5 linked regions of the Xenopus tropicalis genome follow. The protein of the gene in region 5 binds, or shares a complex with, the protein of the main gene of each other region. Links are inferred from orthologs where the notes say so. Each region holds a gene or a part of one and is shown on either strand. Other genes may lie near its edges.

Region 1 (4,017 bases), on a different chromosome or scaffold from region 5:
TCTGACCACTCTGAAAAGCATGCCTGTGGTCGGCAAATGTAGAATAAGCACATTCCCCAAAATAAACCAGCCCAGGCTATTTAAAGGAGAACTATGGCTAAAAGCCAAGACATTTAATTTGTCATTTTTAAACAATTCCATTATTTCCAATATTTTTTTAATAAATATCCTTCCTTTTAATGGGAAGCAAACGCAGTGTATTGCCAGCCAGTGGGGCGGGGGTGGCAAATGACTGGATCAGAATTAGGTGTCTATTGTAGGAAAGGATATGCTTCTTAATCTTAACGTGTGTCCAGCTCAACACTGTACAATAGAGAATATGAATTCCAAAAGCAAAAAAAATTGCTTCTCTAGAAAATGACCATAATATTCAGTATTCATATATTTCTGATGATTTATGAGCATAAGAGACAAGAGAACCTGCATAGGGCACTGTACCTGTTGACATCTAGGGAAGAACCAAATACAGTATTTGTGTTAGATTCAGACAAACCACATCCTTAAAGTCATATTACAAACTTTAAAAAAAAATCTTAAATGTGAATATGTACTTTAAGCGTGGATTCTATTTGGTATGCAGCCAAATCTTTGTGGAGGAATTGGCACTCATGCAAATCCAAAACTTATGGATTTTATGCATCACATGGATTTTTCAGGTAACTATTGCTTGGAAGCCTGCCATTGCATGCAGGGAGAAACTGGGCATAACCGAAGTGTCTGTGGAAGAGGTGGAGAAAACTGAAAACCACATTATTTGGAGTTCTTATTTTTTAGCTAATAAAAATAAAACTTTAACACTTTTTCCATATTACTTTGCTAAACAATGGGAATGATTTTTGAGTGTATTAGTCAAGTCAATAAAAAGTCTTGATTTAAAACTTGGGTCACACAATAGGATTAGTCATCACTGCTATTCTGGAGTCAAAATTACTCGAGCGATAGCTGCAAAATGAATGGCTTCCCAATAACTTTGCTGGGAGACCAAAATATCTGCTCTCTTAACTTGTTTGTCTTCTGAAATGTTGCGGTGTTGTATCTCCTTGTATGACATTAGCCTAACAGGGAAGTCAGAACCATTCTTATCAAAGACTCGCTTGTAAAATGCACACCTTTGCTCTAATCTGAATACGCCACACCCCAGAATGCCTGAGGTGGGAGTGAAACAAGCAGCTACAGAGAGACCTCATACCAGTAGCTGTGCATTCATGTTATTGTTCAAAGTAGAATCTTACTCTCACCACCACGAATACAATAAATTAAACATGAGCGACACTCAAACTGTAATGTAGTGCAAGTACTGGTTGAAATAGAACTACTTTTACAAGCCTAAATATGTTTGTAGCATCTATACAACATACATAAGAGGTGGAAAACCTATCCCCACCCCTGTTGCAAAACCTCATAAGAAGCAGAACTATCTGATGCTGGTGTGAAAGTACAACTCTGCAGCATGCTCACTTTGCTCGGCAGGGTGTCTTTTCAGACATTTTAATTTGTAAAAAGCAATCACTAGAAAGTCAGCCAGTTGAAACGCAATAATCAAACGAGAGCATGCTATGATGGGCATAGATCAGGGGAGCATCAGCCTATATCAACCTGAAAAGTACTATACAATTTATATTCAAGAGCCTATTTAGAGACATCTTAGTAGTTCTGAGGTCATAGAACACCCTTGTCTGGCTATGGAGCAGATCCCCAAAGGCTACGTGACAAAGTTAATAAATTTCCTATAAGCAAGAAATTGGCGAGGCGCGCTACATATGCTGTGGCTATATTTCAAGGGTTTCTATAACTACGAGCACAGTTTTAAATGGAATAATGAGCCAATTGTTGCAGCAGGAAGTGTGAAAGGTATGGACGGGTCCTGGAAAGTAGGTAGCAACAAGCTGCTTCATAACTAGAGGTTAGAGCCCCCATTATTTTTCAAAAATGGATGCTGAAACCACTCATCAGTCGCATGGGCCCCCCAGTCGCAGGGTCCACTTCCTGTTTAAGAAGCTCACTTTGGCTTCTTTACAAACCTGTAATACTACTCCCACACTTGTCATTGTGCAAGCCAGTCTTTAAATTCATTATACACCATGTCTCCAATTGTCTTACTCTTCCTCATATGGTGCAGGCCTTTATTGGCATCACAACAAGCTTATGTGCAAGAAATAAACGTTTTGGCAGAAACATTTTACAGGGACTTCAATGACAATGGTTCTGTTATGGCAGATTGTGGCCCTGGGAATAATGACTTTATCAGGATCCCCTGACAGCCCTAATTCTAAAACGGCCATTCATTCTATGCCAGTCCATTCAGCGGGAGCAATCTGTATGGTAACTCCCATTCACACTATATAAAAAGGTGATGTCTGTGAGCAGGCACAACGACAAGCTGTTCTCTTATGATAACATAGCAATACATAAATTGCACTTTCCCTTTGCAACATGAACCCGAGGCGAGATACAGGGGGTGAGTGATAGTTCAACATCAACTTGACAGCTACAGGTTGGACAGTCCCTGGAGACGCAGAACATCCGCGCTACTGAGCGCACAGCCAGTTCCGTGCAGCACCTCACAGCCGGGCCCGGTGGGTGTCAGCTACTGTGCTTTATCACTGCAACAGGAAGTGACAACCAACACCCAATACAAATTGGCGGGCATAAGTACTCACCCCGGTGCCGTTGTCGCACACCACTACCTTCCTGCCTTGGCTGTCCATTATGTTGTTTCCCTCCTCCGCCGGCACCGGAGCCTGAGAGCAATCTATCAGTCAGTCAATAGACCGGAAGTGCGCCCACCGCCCAGGCACCACCACTTCTGCTTCTCCTACGGGAAGAGGCAGCACGTGACACAAGTCAGCCAATAGCGGAGAAGATAGGCGGTACCACCAAGCGAAGGCTGTAGACGTAACCTGTGGGCAGGCCAAACCCCCAGCCCTGTGACGAACGGTGCCGTGGACATCTTTTTTATGGGAACAAAGTTTCACTAAAACCAATTAGAATAAGCTTAATGACCATTTGTTGCAGGAGGCAAGTTAATGTGTTGAAATAGAAGCAACTGAATGGTTGGTCTTTTGTTTTGGGTTAGTGTATTCCCCTAATGTTAAATAGTTATATAATGTGAGCAGTGACTTCATTTCCAGTGGCTGGCCCTAATCACTAGATAGATCAGATGAGTATTACCTGCTCAGTGTAAGGGGATTGATTCCCAAATCAGCAATGGCCGCTCCTTGTGTTGGGGCTTGATCGTACTCTCGCGATGCTATGGGGCGAGGCTGCCGCGCCCGGTCCGGCTTCTGTCAGTTTAGTTAGGGTTTCAGTAATGGCAGGTGGGGATTCCTAGCTTTGGCCCATCAAGCTGGAATGTACATGTAGCATTATGCATTAATCAGTTCACTGTGTATTACAGCATTCGCTTTTATCCTCCCGACTGTAGCATTGGGCTCAGGCCTAAAGAACAAATGCTAAAATAACTGGGGGGTTGTGGGAACGTTAGTAAAGAAAGCATGACTGACCTGGCCAAACTTGCTTTAAACACCCTATCCATTGCTTATTTCACCATATTTCAGTTAATCTAAACTGCATTTCTGAAAGTGTTCCAGCTATTGTCATTATTCTTCATTTTTGTAATGCTGCTGCACAAATATGGCTGCCTCCTCAGGATCAGGGGAATCAGATCAGGTAATATAAAAGTATTGTGCAAATAATTTCATAGCACCCCATTCCTGAATAAGCCGCACAGTTTGACACCTCATTCGTGGGTCTACGACAAACTAGTTATTCGCCAAAATCCCCATTATAAGTCAATAGGCAAATTTGGGGACGTCTCTTGCCCCGGGGGTAAAACTTATACCCTTCTGACAGGTTGTAAACCTCTTCAAATGTGGTAAATTTCACGTTTCTAAAAAATTCCCTCTCTTCGCTACAATCCGTCAAAGTTGGCCTGCAGGGGCAATTAACCGCCCACCCCTTAGAAAACTCATAGCACCCCATTCCCGAATAGGCCGCACGATTTGACACCTCACTCAT
Region 2 (4,177 bases), on a different chromosome or scaffold from region 5:
GCTGTGCTATCATTTATTCCTGTCCCTCTAGATTCAGTGACAACATTTTGTCAATCTGGACAGACCCTGCTTGGGTTTGTCCAACTATTTTGTTAAAGCCATATTTTAGTTTTGCCATAAAGAAGAAACTCGAAAAATCGGATTGGAAACGAACATTTTGCGATTTTTTCGTGAATTGTCGCAAATTGTTGCAACTTTTTCGTAGCCGTTACGACTTTCGCGAGTTGTCGCAACTTTTTCGTATTGAGCGCTTTCGTACTCGGCACGAGAGTACGATTTTTTCGCGACGGAAAAGTCGCGACGGCGACAAAAAAAATCTCAAAATACAGATCATTACAAATTAGTAAATTTGCCCCTAGGAGTTAAATCCTTGTGTACATGCTCCCTCACTGAACAAGTTTTGGGAGGGCATGAAGTGTGCTGTTAACAGTGTTCCAAAACTGCTCAGTTACTGCTACCACTCAAAAATATAGAATCAGATTTCATGGATAATTTTGTCCCTAACAACTGCTGCTAGGGGAGACCTACAGGGTCTGAAACATTTTTAGAAGAGGGATCAGCATTAAAAGGTATCTACTTATATGGGAAGGCACTGTATGCCTTTAAAGAATAAGTAAACCTTTTTTTTTTTTTTTTTAATCTAAATTTACTCTAAAATTACTCTGTTTAGCCCCCAGAATAACATACCTTTTTTCCCTGCATCCAGAATTACTTTGTCTCTCTATTACAAGCAGATGAGCTGCATCTCTTTTACCGGCTTCCTTGTCTAGTGTGAAGCCCCGCCCCTTTTGCTTTATGAGTCCCCCTTTCTCTCTCTCCGACTATGATGACCTAATAGAGGTGCCTACTCTGCATGCCTGATGTGTTTGTCAGCTCCATAGTACTTTGCTCACCTTCTCATGCCACTGCAACAAGACAGCACTGCTGTTGTCAGACGGACTCTCAAAGCCCTTGTAGATGTATTTCATTAAGAGGTCCATGTTATTTTTGTCTAAAGATTGAACAGCCTTTTCTATGTCATTAGCTTTAAAGGAGATTAGAACTTTCAGCACCAGGTGCTCAGCTCGATCCTAAGTAAAAAGCAATGATAAAGTCAATGTCCATACTCCAAAATTTAAAATAAAGAGTTAGAAAATTGTAAAACTGTATTGGAAAACTTGCTGGTATGACCAACTGAGTAGTGGCTGATTATTGGTACAGAATGCATTAAGTGCAGCAAAATAAGTTTGGCTGAAAGTAAGATATGAATATAATTTATAAAATAGTGTGGCAATAAAACTATTGGCAGGAGGAACAAAAAGCAAAGAGGAAGTAAGCACTGACTGATGTATATTCTGTACCCAATACGCCACTTTATAACTACCTTATTTATCCTTCAGCAAATAATAAGCAAATGAATAACAATTTGTTTCCTGTTGTATTTTACTAGAAGCATATTACCTTGGCAGACTGATTCTTGGTATTAATTGGTGGGTTCTTTAGAGCAGCTTGCAGAGCTCCCATCATGTTTCCTGTAGCAAGCTGTTAAGGGAATAACGTACTGACACAAAAGAAATGCCATACAATAATTACAGAACAATTTCAGTTGATGCTTTATATTCACAGATCCCTATATGGCCCTGGCCTAATATTAGCATAAATCTGAAAAAGCCTACTGTGCATATATATGGAAATATGGTCTGAATTGAAAATGTGTTAAAACTAATGAAAAAAATATAGATCTGGGACAAAAGTGTAAAAAAAGCCAACCAAGCAGAAGTTCCCATGCTTCCTGATGACTGAGACTGAGCCACTTCCTGCATTCCTAAACCTGAAGCAAGACCAAGCTTGCCTCACAAAAACATATAGCTTGTACTATAACACCACAACGACCAATAACTGCTACAGAACCATCAAGGTGTGTTTAACTGTGTGCTCAACCTGTGTGTAACTTGGCTCAAAGTCCACTATTGTATTATCCACCCTTGGAAACACCGATAAGAAAGCATGTAAATGTATGTGATTTCAAACAGAGAGAGAGTGAGAAAGAAAGTGTTTTTGTTTAGATAGACAGAGAAAAAGAAACAAAATGCACAGGATAAAGTGACTGACACTCCCACAGCCTCACAGCAAGTTCCTCTTTGTAGGAAAAGGAGATTAACTACTGACATTTCCTACACAGCAGAGCCTCTATATACGGTTTGCAAGTATTTTGCTTGCCATAGATCCTTTAGGTATGTAATATGGAGTCAGTGTGCAAACTGGAGTTGGTATGCACAGCTTCTGCATATCCACACATAGCAAATGACAAGGTGCATAGACAAAAGCAAATGTGTATTGACTCCAGTTTGAAAGCTTATTAGGCTACCATATCAGGACTATGCCAGTTTATTCTAGTAGATATTCCTGAAACCTTAGCTTGGAGATCAAACAAAGAGAAGGGTGTAGGGGGAAGTATAGGCTTTGCAAGATGAAGATGAGTACAAAGCATGACAGGAATAGTGGAAACAGTGGCAGTCAGCCCTCTCCATGTGACACCGCACACCTTCAGCATGTTAGCACTATGACACGGTACAGCCCATATGTCAGGCGATTAGGAGCATGTCTGTTCATACAAAGGTACAATGCCAGGCCCTGCCAGCACAGACAACATACAAGGATATCCCCGAATCGCGCTATCAACCTCCCCCTCGTCGGGTCCTTGCTGTCCTTCTCCCGCCTCCTCTTCGTCAACGAATTTGTTCTCATCATATTCATCCACATCTACTTTCCGGAAGCGTGCAGACACCGTATTCTTCGCCATCCCGAACCGGAGACTCTGTGCTGCTGGCAGGGAGCGGTCGTACTCAATGCGCAGGCGCAGCGGCTTCCGCTTTTATTCTCGGCTTCCGGAGACTGTCAGAGCGCTAGTTTTGCTGGTGTGGTTACCTCTGCCGGGATTAAGGCAGTATCAAAGCGTTCAGTCTATTCTGTGGGCTTTACCCAGGCGGGACACTCAGGCTGGGCCCGTGGGTAGTACATTTACCTGGGCGGTGGAGGTGTCAGGGGATAATCAGTTTGGTGTTTTCCAGTGACCTGACCTGTTGCATGGTAAAAAAAACTGTGGCATGGCTTGCTGGACTGCTTTTGTACAGAAAAAAAGGATTTTCTGGCAAAGTCCTCACCGTTTTGTGGGTTTCACGCAGTGCAGGACGGGTGTTTATATAAATCCAGACTAAATAAATAAAGTTAGGTATTGTAAGTGTATTGAGTGCATTTTGTGGAAGTCTGTGTTGCTGCATATGCTGATGGAATATGTGTATTTCCAATAGCATGTTTTATATAATATCCTGTGGTTGTCATCCCCTTAATTCAATGTTCCAATAGTTTATGTAATGGTACTATAGCAATGGCTTGTTGTCAGATCTTGTTATAATGTTAGTGTTTAATATAAAATAGTTTTTGCTTGTTCTACCCCCTCCCCCTTTTCCTTCTGAGCCTCCTCCATTCCTTGGGGCTGTTGCCTCGAGAGGAAACTTTGTCGATTTCAGCGCCGCGTATGGCATCCCACTGGCGATTTACATTCTAGCCGGTGGGATGGCATTTTGGGAAGATTAGTCGCCTGCACCAAGGTAGATTTGTCGCATGGCGACTAATCTCCCCGTCTGTCACAGCCCTTACGAAAGACGTGTAAATATAGAATTAAAAAAAAAAAGAATATCCTGTGGCAGACAATTATTGCCCCCCGGGTTGTGGACCCCTAACAAGTAACATAGTAAGTTAGGTTGAAAAAAGACATATGTCCATCAAGTTCAACCATAATGCCTATATATAACCTGCCTAACTGGTAGCTGATCCAGAGGAAGGCAAAAAAGTTTCCTGCCCAGTTCTCACAGGTGACATAAAACCTCAATATAGCGTCAAACAGTAATAAGAATGGGAACACAGGAGCAACTATGCCCTTCCATTGCCTGACAGGCTTTACTAGGCACACTTTCTTCTTTTTTTGTTGTTAAAAAGACAGATTCTAAAAGTCTTTCTGCATTTGGTTAATATGGTGATTTTATACACAGTAAATTGTCATTCTAGACACCATTTTCATGGATTTGGAGTACCGTTTAAAATCAGTCAATGTGAGTTTTTTTCTCATCATAAGCAACACTTTGGTGGTGTTCATAATGTCAAACTCATGTACAGGCAAAATGTTGCTACTTCAACT
Region 3 (3,515 bases), about 43 Mb from region 5:
CTTATGATCATCTGAACAGGTGAAATATGGGGAGACTTAAGGGCACTATTGAGACAACTGAAGGTATTCCTGCAGCTTGAGATTAACTCTTTATTAGTCCTTCTCTTTTAAGGCAGTGATCCCCAACCAGTGGTTCATGAGCAACATGTTGCTCCAAGTGGCCTCAAAGCAGGTGCTTATTTTTGAATTTCTAAGATTCACAAAACTTTGCAGAATCCACCAGGGAGACCGATAGTCTCAGGGTGTGGATCTATATTTCAACCATTAGCAATTTATTTGGATGTTATATGTCAGCCAATTTTTAAATTACTTCATACGTATCTGTCTGACACCACAGATTTTTTTAATAAACTCACTGAGGTAAAATTACCAGAAACAAAAGTTTTGATATGTTCCCTTGACGTCGTCTGTGATCTGTATTCCACCATTCCACATGCTGAAGGCATTGAATGCATTCGATATTATCTAACTAAGTTAAATCTTAAAACGCATGAAATTAATTTTGCATGTGATGCGTTGGAATTAATATTAACTAAAAATTACTTTGTATATTATGAACAGTACTATGTACAGCTGATGGGCTGTACAATGGGTGCGAACATGGCGCCTATATATGCGAATGCGTTCATGCATATGTTTGAGAATAAGTTCATTTTAAGTAATAAAAATTGGAATGAGCGCATTCTATATTATTGGCGCTAGAGATTTAAGAAGGGGTTGGATGGATTCTTAGCAAGTGAGGGAATACAGGGTTATGGGAGATAGCTCTCCGTACAAGTGAGGGAATACAGGGGTATGGGAGATAGCTCTTAGTACAAGTTGATCCAGGGATTGGTCCGATTGCCATCTTGGAGTCAGGAAGGAATTTTTTCCCCTCTGCTGCAAATTAGAGAGGCTTCAGATGGGGTTTTTTGCCTTCCTCTGGATCAACTAGTAGTTAGGCAGGTTATATATAGGCATTATGGTTGAACGTGATGGACGTATGTCTTTTTTCAACCCAACTTACTTACTTACTAGTGTGTGTTTAGGGAAAATGTACATAGTACTGCCAGGACAGTAAATGGGAACAAGTTTATAAACTTGCTGCATGACACCTTTATGTCACAGGTTGTTGAGGAGCCAACCAGGAACCATGCTATATTGGATCTAGTGTTCTCTAATGGCCCAGAGTGTATAGCAAATGTGCAAGTGGTTGAACCCCTGGGTAATAGTGACCATAATGTTATTTCATTTGATGTTTGGTGCAGGAAACAAATTTACACGGGGCAACAAAGACAATGAATTTTAGGAAGGCAAATTTTAGCTCCTTAAGGGCAGCGCTTCAGGGCATAGATTGGGGCATTATGTTTTCTGATAAAAACACAGAGCAGAAATGGTTGTCATTTAAAACCATATTGTTACTATAACTCAATGGGGCCACATCCTCAACCTGCATCTTTTTACTATTAATATACTTAAAAAACTTTTTGGGGTTAGTCTTGGCCTCTGCCGCAATGCGCTCCTCATTTTCTATCTTTGCCTTCTGGATTGCTGTTTTACAACACTTGTTATAGTGTTTATATTCATTAAACGCAGCTACTGTCCCCTCTGACTTATATTTCTTAAAAGCTTTCCTTTTTTTCCCTATTAACTTCTTTACCTCAGAGTTAAGCCACATAGGGTGATTCTTAACACTTCTACTTTTTCTTATTAAAGGAATAAATTGCGAATAGTAATGATTTAATATCATTTTAAATGACAACCATTTCTGTTCTGTGTTTTTATCAGAAAACATAATGCCCCAATCTATGCCCTGAAGCGCTGCCCTTAAGGAGCTAAAATTTGCCTTCCTAAAATTCATTGTCTTTGTTGCCCCGTGTAAATTTGTTTCCTGCACAAACATCAAATGAAATAACATTATGGTCACTATTACCCAGGGGTTCAACCACTTGCACATTTGCTATACACTCTGGGCCATTAGAGAACACTAGATCCAATATAGCATGGTTCCTGGTTGGCTCCTCAACAACCTGTGACATAACGTTGTCATGCAGCAAGTTTATAAACTTGTTCCCATTTACTGTCCTGGCAGTACTATGGCTCCAGTCAATATCAGGATAATTAAAATCCCCCATTATTATCACCTGCCCCAAACTAGCAGGTGATATTTGCAACAGCAGCTGAGCCTCCTCCTCCTCACTTACATTAGGGGGTCTATAGCATACCCCTACAATTAGTTTGGTAGATTCTTTACTATCTGTGAGAAGCTCAACCCATAAGGATTCAGCTCCCTCTGTTACCCCCATTGCTTCCTCTTTAATATTTGCTTTTAATTCTTGCTTAACGTAAATACACACTCCTCCTCCAATTCTATTGCCCCTGTCCCTCCGAAACAATGTATAACCCCCAATATTAACTGCCCAGTCATGTGACTCGTTCAACCGCTACAATGCCAGTACCTCCAGCTCTCCCATTTTACCAGTCAGACTTCTTGCATTGGTAAACATACATTTAATACTGGTTCCGGCGTGAGAATGACGTGTAAACAACTTATGGGCCTCCCTGCCATTATCAGTATCCCGAAGCAAGTCTCCTCCCCCATTTTCCCTTACTATGCCCACTACCTCATCTATCCTGTCTACCACAGAATTACCTGCTGCACCCCCCCCCACTCCTAGTTTAAAATCTCCTCCAACCCTCTAGCCATCTTTTCCCCCAAAGCAGCTGCCCCATCATCATTGAGGTGCAGCCCATCCCTGGCAAAGAGCCTGTAGCAAATAATTTTGAAAGCTTTCTAGGTACATAGGCCATGTACTAAATCAAATTCAGGGGATAGTTAGCATTAGAGTACTTGGGTGCATCTAGTAATTTAAGTGCTAGCATTTGTGTGCGCGTCCTTGCCTGATGCTGTTCTTGTGTAAGGAGTCCAGGGTAACGTTGTTGGTATCAGAGCTGGCCTTCTTGTCCAGGTTTTGAAATCTCTCTCGTGCAGTCATCCCTCTCTGGGAACTCTGCTTGGGGATATCAAGTTTTCCCCCAAAACTCAAAGTCCCCTGAGCTTCAACATAAGAGTAAAGTACTGGATAGCAGTCATGGCCCTGCCAAAAAAAAATTGTTAAAGGAATTGCATCATATTGTGCTAAAGATTATTACAATCTACTCTTACAAACAGAGATTAGGCTGACTGCATTCGGGGTATTTAGAAACAGCCTGATGCTCATAGAAGGAAAGCCCAATTGCGCCTTCCCCACTAGCAGACCCAAAGTTTTGTTTTTTGCCACCCCTGGTAACTCAGGGGCTGCTGCTGAGGTTAGTTTATCAACTCATGGCCACAGCACCCCTGGTAACCATGATCTCATTAATAATATTAAAAAAGCTAACAAAAATATGGATAATTGGTTTTTGGTCAATCATCTAATTCCCCAACATAATCTAGTTTGAGAGGAAGAGTTTAAAAAAAAACAAAAAAAAAACAAAACACCAATTATATGTTGTTAAGAACATTGTGATTGCTCTGATTGTCCCCTAATACTGTA
Region 4 (3,515 bases), on a different chromosome or scaffold from region 5:
TGTGTGATAATGCCTTGGAGGGTACTTAAGCTGGCCATACACGTGGCGATCTGACGATGTTTCGTGCAACCATCGGTCGCACGAAACATCGTCAGATCCGCCACACACCATTCAGGGCTGAATCGGCAGGTAAGTAGGTAGAAACAATAGGATTTCTACCTCCTTCTGCCGATTCAGCGATGAAGGGAGATTTTGGTCAGGCGGCTTCTATGGCACCCGATCAAAATTTTCAAACTGGTCCGATCGGCGAGTCGGGCGATATCAGCAGCTTCCTGCGATATCGGTCGACTTGCTGACATACCTTCGTTTCGTACGATATTATCGGTGCGTGTATGGCCACCTTTACTCTAGATTATGCAATATAAAAAATTTTGCTGTGGCGATTTACATAGCCAGCAATGACAGATCATTTCAGTACAAAATCACCATTTGGTTCTAATCTGTTTACTCCCACATAGATCACCTGACAGGCAATAGTGCAGCACTTACTGTAACAGGGAGTGAAATAAACAGCTCTGTCTATTAGGTTCCTGATGTAAACTAGCACTGTGAGCACAGTACTTCATTTGAGGGAGAGGGCAGACTTTAGCACTTAAAATGGAAGTGTTTCAATATGGGATTGTTATGGCACATACTGCTAATATATTTAGGTATTTTATTTTTATGAAATCGCTTTGTGTGTATGAAACACCATACACAACAACCTTCTTTTAAGTGTGTGTTAAAACTCTTAGCATTTATGTACTATTATCACTGTCTAGTTTATAATAACCATACCCCTGTTTGTGTTTACACCTTGTAAAGCACTAATGTACATTTGTGGTTTTATATAATAGTGCAGCGGAAGCTTTGTGGGTTGCCATTCTGTACTATGCATGATTATCAGGGGGCTGGGATACAGGCCTGAACTGTGGGTTCTGACAAATGCCAGAGGGGCTACTGTAAGATGCCATAGACAGTCACTATATATTGGGCTGGTGGGGGCTGTTTGGGCCTCTGTGTACTTGAAATGCCAGGGCCTATTTTGAATCCCAGTCCAGACCTGCTGGAATAAATCATGGTTCTTCACATTGCTAACAGATGAAAGCCCCCTGAGCAGGTCACATGAATTTTGATCTGTTCTAAAAATGCCATAGGCCTTAATGTTTATTAGCGTGATTAGTTATGAAATTTGAGACTCAAAAGTAAAGCAAGGCCACACCTTTGTATAAAATATTGTTTCAAGGTCAAGTTTCAAGGTCAAGTATTGTATCCAAAATGTAGCTGTGCATGTTAGAACTATCCCACATAGCAATGACCCCCAGCTACTTCTGCAACATTATTTTACTCCTCCCTGAATGCTTAAAGGGGTCCTCCACGCACACAGTCTTTTGGATAAAAAGAAAACAATTCTAAGCAACTTTCATATACATAAGCAAAAGATTTTCAGTGGGTATAAAGTTATTTATAAAGATAGTTGTAATTGAAAGTACTGTTTGTTTATGTATTAAAACAATGTAACAGACCTAGAAGAGTTATGACAGATACTGTGTTCAGTAGCAATTACATTTACAAATAACTTTAAAACCATTGAATTTTTAAAATGAACGCATATTGGAAAGTTGCATACAATTACATTTTCTTTTACTGTGTAATAAATTGTTTTTGGATGGAGAAACCCTTTCATTTTAATGGTGATCCTTTTCTCTAAACGCAAAAGGATTTGGGTAACAGCATAGGCCTTAAAATCAGATATTAATTCTGAACATTATATATAAATCTTTTTATAATTGGTAATGTAAAACCGTAATTAGGAGAATTAGGATAAAATACTATAGAAACTGTCCACCTAATGGTACAGTTATTATGGCATAAATGTCTTACTGGTCAGCTAGTGGCTGCAGAAAATCTTGAAGGAATTGACTGAGGTATTGTGTAAGATTATACATTTCTAACAAAAAACAACTGTCTGGATAAAAAATAGTTTAATAAAAAACCTTTTCACACTGAGCATATATAGCTCTTAAAATGTTAAAGCTTTTCTGATTTGTGTTTCAGGCCTACCATTCAATGCTTATGGAGTCAGACACCAAGCTGATTGGTAACATGGCAATGCTACCCATAAGAAGCCAGTTTAAAGGACCAGCCCCTAGAGAAAGTAAGTCTTACCAACCCCAAATGTTTTACATAAATTCCTCATGTTATCCATGTGGCGGGTCTCAGCTTGCTGGAGGATTCCTCAATGCAACCAAGTGTTAATTCAGTAGTTCTCTTGGAATTTTTACTTTAGGCCCATCAATAGTCCGTGATGCAGTGATTGCTGCTTATTATGTAATATATATATATATATATATATATATATATATATATATATATATATATATAATTATATATTGTAATGCAAATAATAAAATTCTATATTGGAGATTATATGCATTATATAATGGGGTTTTGTGCTGCTTTGCATGTAGGTATATGTTATATATAGCTTTTTTTAATTGATCCATTAATGAGAGAGAAGGCATTGGGCATAATTTGCAACAAAAAAATATGAATTATGTTAATTAATGATATGTTGCCTATAGCAACCAATCAGATCTTGGTTGCTTGATCAAAGCGGATCAGTTGCTAAGGACAACTGCACTAGTACAATTGTTATAAATCGGCAAATATTTAAGTATTTAACTATTGCAAAATGAATATAAGTTTTTAGCTTGTATGAACATTACAGCATTTTTGTCCATAATCACTTTTGTATTTTGTCTTTCAAGCAAAAGACACAGATATCATTGATGAAGCTATTTATTACTTTAAGGCTAATGTTTTCTTCAAAAACTATGAAATAAAGGTAAGCTATCAGATCTCACTATGCAAAAAAATCTTACTGAAACGTTGCAAATTCTATATCCACATAGTGGGCACATTTCCTACTTCGCTTTATAATAATGTTTTTTTTCGCTAGTAAACAAAACTAATATTCACTGTTTGTATATAAACGCTTCTCTTTACAGAACGAGGCTGATCGGACATTAATATACATAACTCTGTATATTTCCGAATGCTTAAAAAAACTACAGAAGGTAAGATTTGGTAGCCTTTTTGTGCTACATACTACATGACTTAAAGGAGAACTATACATTATTAGGAAAAAAAAACTGACCAGCAGATAATTTATATCCCAAGTGACCTACGCATATACATGTATGTGTACTTGTATGTCACTCGTATCCACTAGTGCTGTAATGCACACCATCCCATTAGCCATGCATTGTATTTCCTTTGAATGCAGCTTAAAGAAAGCATATACATTTGTATGGCTGAAGTACTTTACACATAGCAAATTTTACCTGTCCCATACCATAAATGTTCTCTCTTTGTTTTGTTAGCTGTCCATTGTTTTACAAAAGTGCCTTTTTTATAGGCAGTGCTTCTGAATAAGGTTCTGTGTCTTGTTTAAGCTTCATTTGTGCAGAGTGCGAGATATACAAATGAACAAGGACAAGCCCTCATTGCTACAAATATGCACTTGGTGTATG
Region 5 (4,241 bases):
CCCCCTCCCCAGTTACTGGGATGGCTGATAATTCCCTCTGGGCCCAGTCCGGCTGGGAAATCACTACAGAAATGGATTCAGAATGTTGCATTAACCCCAGACATGATATACATATGGGTGTGTTGAACTACAACTCTCACAGCCCCAAGATATCATGAGAGTTATAGCTTAAGAATCAACTGCAGAACTGCCCCACATCCCAGTAGAAAGTAACAGTACAATCACATACCCTATAGAGCAGGGAGCAGGGGGTAGAACTGCCCCACATCCCAGTAGAAAGTAACAGTACAATCACATACCCTATAGAGCAGGGGGTAGAACTGCCCCACATCCCAGTAGAAAGTAACAGTACAATCACATACCCTATAGAGCAGGGAGCAGGGGGTAGAACTGCCCCACATCCCAGTAGAAAGTAACAGTACAATCACATACCCTATAGAGCAGGGGGTAGAACTGCCCCACATCCCAGTAGAAAGTAACAGTACAATCACATACCCTATAGAGCAGGGGGTAGAACTGCCCCACATCCCAGTAGAAAGTAACAGTACAATCACATACCCTATAGAGCAGGGAGCAGGGGGTAGAACTGCCCCACATCCCAGTAGAAAGTAACAGTACAATCACATACCCTATAGAGCAGGGGGTAGAACTGCCCCACATCCCAGTAGAAAGTAACAGTACAATCACATACCCTATAGAGCAGGGGGTAGAACTGCCCCACATCCCAGTAGAAAGTAACAGTACAATCACATACCCTATAGAGCAGGGAGCAGGGGGTAGAACTGGCCCACATCCCAGTAGAAAGTAATGGTGTAAGCTCATACCCTATAGAGCAGGTTGTAGAACAGACAGGTTGAGCCTAAATAGAATAGAAACCTTGGTCTATACTATCCAATTGCATGCTGGGTACTGTAGTTTTATATTAATCCTAGCTGTAGGCTAATTGTAAGATACAAACTACATTACCCAGCATGCAGTGGGAAAGACACACTAGGGGAAAAAACTTTGGCTAGTTCCCAAACTACAAACCCGCCAAGGCTCCAAAACAAATAGCCCAAATCTGTACTTTGGAAACCCACCTGGGCTTTAAATTAGTAGCCCAATTTGGCGGGAAAACCGCCAACCCTGAAAACAAGTGTATCGAGCCCAGTCAGTATCAAAAGGTTTGACGGCGTGGCCATAATGCTGTACGGAATAGTGAGATGGCGGATAACTTGCGATAGTTTCAGGGTCTTTAAGGAATCTGCTCAGTGGGCGACCGTGTTGGCGTGCGGAATAGTGAGACGCCGGGAATGATTTGGTTTTACATGCAGTAATGTGGCGGCCATGTTGCGGTACGGAATTACGCGCAGCCTGGTGAGGCGCGGGACGGAGGCGGCCATGTTTCTGTACGGAGGAAGCTGCTGTGGGCGGCGCCATCTTGCAGTACGGGAAGAGGGAAGTGGTTCTGGGCAGGGAGCGGCGGCCTGTCACACACTGACACCGAGATACCGATCCGACCCCTCCCTGCTGTCCCCCGCCAGGTGCCGCCATGATCCTGCTGGAGGTGAATAACCGGATCATAGAGGAGACCCTCAACCTCAAGTTTGAAAATGCGGCTGCAGGGTGAGTGCGGGAGGGCCGGGAGCGGGGTGAGTGCGGGAGGGCCGGGGGAGCGGGGTGAGTGCGGGAGGGCCGGGGGAGCGGGGTGAGTGCGGGAGGGCCGGGAGCGGGGTGAGTGCGGGAGGGCCGGGGGAGCGGGGTGAGTGCGGGAGGGCCGGGGGAGCGGGGTGAGTGCGGGAGGGCCGGGGGAGCGGGGTGAGTGCGGGAGGTGAGTGCGGGAGGGCCGGGGGAGCGGGGTGAGTGCGGGAGGGCCGGCGGGGTAAGTGCTGGCGGTGTATAGAGGGGGCGGCCGGCTGTGTGACTGAGACCGGGGTGGGTGGGGGCCCGGGATGGGTGGGGGCCCGGGATGGGTGGGGGCCCAGCTGGACATTGACCGATTAAAAGTTTTAATATGAGTATGGTGAGAATGGGCAATTCCTTATGTTTCGGAGCCCTCACACGGTTTTACGTTATTTTACTAGTTATCCCATAGGGGGAAGTGGATTGGGGTAGGAAGAGGAGTAGAGCTAGGGGTACATACCTGAGCTGGGGCAAATAGAGTGGGACTTGGGGTACATACCTGAGCTGGGGCAAATAGAGTGGGACTTGGGGTACATACCTGAGCTGGGGCAAATAGAGTGGGACTTGGGGTACATACCTGAGCTGGGGCAAATAGAGTGGGACTTGGGGTACATACCTGAGCTGGGGCAAATAGAGTGGGACTTGGGGTACATACCTGAGCTGGGGCAAACAGTGGGACTTGGGGTACATACCTGAGCTGGGGCAAATAGAGTGGGACTTGGGGTACATACCTGAGCTGGGGCAAATAGAGTGGGACTTGGGGTACATACCTGAGCTGGGGCAAGTAGAGTGGGACTTGGGGTACATACCTGAGCTGGGGCAAGTAGAGTGGGACTTGGGGTACATACCTGAGCTGGGGCAAGTAGAGTGGGACTTGGGGTACATACCTGAGCTGGGGCAAACAGAGTGGGACTTGGGGTACATACCTGAGCTGGGGTAACAGTGGGGACTGGTAAAGAAATGCAGGGCAGAAGTTGGAGGAATAAATATGGGGTGAAGTCTAAGGTGGGGTACATATCAGGGCTGGGGTGTAAGAGGGGCAAGAATTAACAGCGGCTTCTGGAAATTAAAGTTGGGGTACAGTGAATAAGGGAGACAGGGCAGAAAATAGGGAAATGGTATTGGGGTACTATGTGGGGCTTAGGGGGGGTTACAGTGTGAGGCTGGGTGGGAATGAAGCTCACACTCTAATAAGGGCTCAAGGGGTGGGGCTGGGAGCAGGGCCGGGTTATGAACATAATATGGGGTGCAAGGAAGGTGAGACGGGGGTAGGAAAGGGCTGCCCCACTGATAGAGTTAGTGCTATGTGGCCCTCCAGCTGCTGATCCTATTACCTTCCAGCACCCCAGGGCCCCTGCAGACTGAGCCTCTCTGCCTATGAGAAAGTTGCAGAATGTTGATACATTGTAGCAGTGTCAGTTACACTATAAATGTGTCTTTGCTGAGAGAGAATGCAGAGAGCTGCAGTTAAACCTTTCCAGGCCGTGTAAGTGGCCCCTCGGGGTGGGTGCCTGTTGCATTCTTGTTGCCCCCTACACCCCCACTGCAGACACCGTGAGGCTATCGGATGTGGTAACTTCACGCTCTGCACTGAGCTCAGAGATGGGAGAATACAGAGCTGAGATATGATTCATTCTCTCACTATATATATATATATATATATATATATATATATATATATATATATATATATATATATATCTGTATTCTGCTATTGGCCCCGCCCACTGTGAGACTTCAGAGAAGGAGCTACCATATACGGGGTGGGGGCCCAACTTCCTCATCCTGGGTGCATTTCTGCGCCTGTCCTGGCAGGTCCTATCAGTAAAGATTCCTCTAGCGTTGCAGTGCATGCTGGGACAAGCCCGGCTCTACTGGTAACCAGTAAAATTGCCTGTTGGGGCATGAACCAGACTGGACCCTGCTGCTTATTAGTGTCCGATATAAATGTGTGTGGCCCTAATACCCTATGATATCCTAGTTAGCATGGAAATGTATGCATAATTATGATTAGGAGCTGCCATATGACTTGCCTTGGCTGAAGAATCCATTCTAGACTTCAAGAGGTTGGGATGATGTAGAAAGTAATATTGTGACACAGTTTGCAATTGGTCTTCACTTTTTATTTCACTTTTTGTTCTGAAGCTCTCAATTTTGGAATTTTAGCAGCTATCTGGGTCCAAAGTACCTTAGCAACCATGGTGTGGCAGAACAAGGGATTGGCGTATGGTCAGTAGAGAACCTGAATACAAAAACAAGTTATAAAAAGTTACAAACACAATAAAATTGTAGCCTCATGGGGAAGTAGTTTGTTTGGTTTTTTTTTCATTGGCTGCCGGGGTCAGTGACCCCTATTTGAATGCAGGAAAGTCAGAAGAAGGCGGCAAATGATTAAAAAATAAATAATGAAGACCAATTGAAAAGTTGCTGAGAATTGGCCATTCTATAACATACTAAAAGTTAATTTGCTGGTCATGTGACGGTCAGATTGGGCGACAGAATCTCAGTTTATTTGTCAGGGTTTAAATATATACTGCTTTCCCCACACAGACCCAATACTGACCCCCCCATTAGATTTT

The links.
Region 1: arpc2 (region 5) and actr2 share a complex: the UniProt entries of both Homo sapiens proteins name them as parts of the arp2/3 complex. The link is inferred for Xenopus tropicalis from reciprocal best matches to the Homo sapiens genes ARPC2 and ACTR2.
Region 2: arpc2 (region 5) and arpc5 share a complex: the UniProt entries of both Homo sapiens proteins name them as parts of the arp2/3 complex. The link is inferred for Xenopus tropicalis from reciprocal best matches to the Homo sapiens genes ARPC2 and ARPC5.
Region 3: arpc2 (region 5) and arpc1b share a complex: the UniProt entries of both Homo sapiens proteins name them as parts of the arp2/3 complex. The link is inferred for Xenopus tropicalis from reciprocal best matches to the Homo sapiens genes ARPC2 and ARPC1B.
Region 4: arpc2 (region 5) and arpc3 share a complex: the UniProt entries of both Homo sapiens proteins name them as parts of the arp2/3 complex. The link is inferred for Xenopus tropicalis from reciprocal best matches to the Homo sapiens genes ARPC2 and ARPC3.

Annotation. Positions count from the first base shown.
Region 1 is NC_030681.2:31,981,311-31,985,327, forward strand, and holds the start of actr2 (actin-related protein 2), read right to left. Parts: upstream 2,811-4,017; 5' UTR 2,709-2,810; coding exon 2,661-2,708; intron 2,451-2,660; exon of another isoform or gene 2,436-2,450; coding exon of another isoform or gene 2,424-2,435; intron 1-2,423. UniProt on the Homo sapiens protein: ATP-binding component of the Arp2/3 complex, a multiprotein complex that mediates actin polymerization upon stimulation by nucleation-promoting factor (NPF).
Region 2 is NC_030680.2:99,903,102-99,907,278, reverse strand, and holds the start of arpc5 (actin-related protein 2/3 complex subunit 5), read right to left. Parts: upstream 2,810-4,177; 5' UTR 2,783-2,809; coding exon 2,643-2,782; intron 1,514-2,642; coding exon 1,441-1,513; intron 1,071-1,440; coding exon 894-1,070; intron 1-893. UniProt on the Homo sapiens protein: Component of the Arp2/3 complex, a multiprotein complex that mediates actin polymerization upon stimulation by nucleation-promoting factor (NPF).
Region 3 is NC_030685.2:41,839,490-41,843,004, reverse strand, and holds part of arpc1b (actin-related protein 2/3 complex subunit 1B), read right to left. Parts: intron 3,078-3,515; coding exon 2,881-3,077; intron 1-2,880. UniProt on the Homo sapiens protein: Component of the Arp2/3 complex, a multiprotein complex that mediates actin polymerization upon stimulation by nucleation-promoting factor (NPF).
Region 4 is NC_030677.2:162,790,003-162,793,517, reverse strand, and holds part of arpc3 (actin-related protein 2/3 complex subunit 3), read left to right. Parts: intron 1-2,037; coding exon 2,038-2,137; intron 2,138-2,750; coding exon 2,751-2,827; intron 2,828-2,990; coding exon 2,991-3,059; intron 3,060-3,515. UniProt on the Homo sapiens protein: Component of the Arp2/3 complex, a multiprotein complex that mediates actin polymerization upon stimulation by nucleation-promoting factor (NPF).
Region 5 is NC_030685.2:85,244,806-85,249,046, reverse strand, and holds the start of arpc2 (actin-related protein 2/3 complex subunit 2), read left to right. Parts: upstream 1-1,434; 5' UTR 1,435-1,531; coding exon 1,532-1,605; intron 1,606-4,241. UniProt on the Homo sapiens protein: Actin-binding component of the Arp2/3 complex, a multiprotein complex that mediates actin polymerization upon stimulation by nucleation-promoting factor (NPF).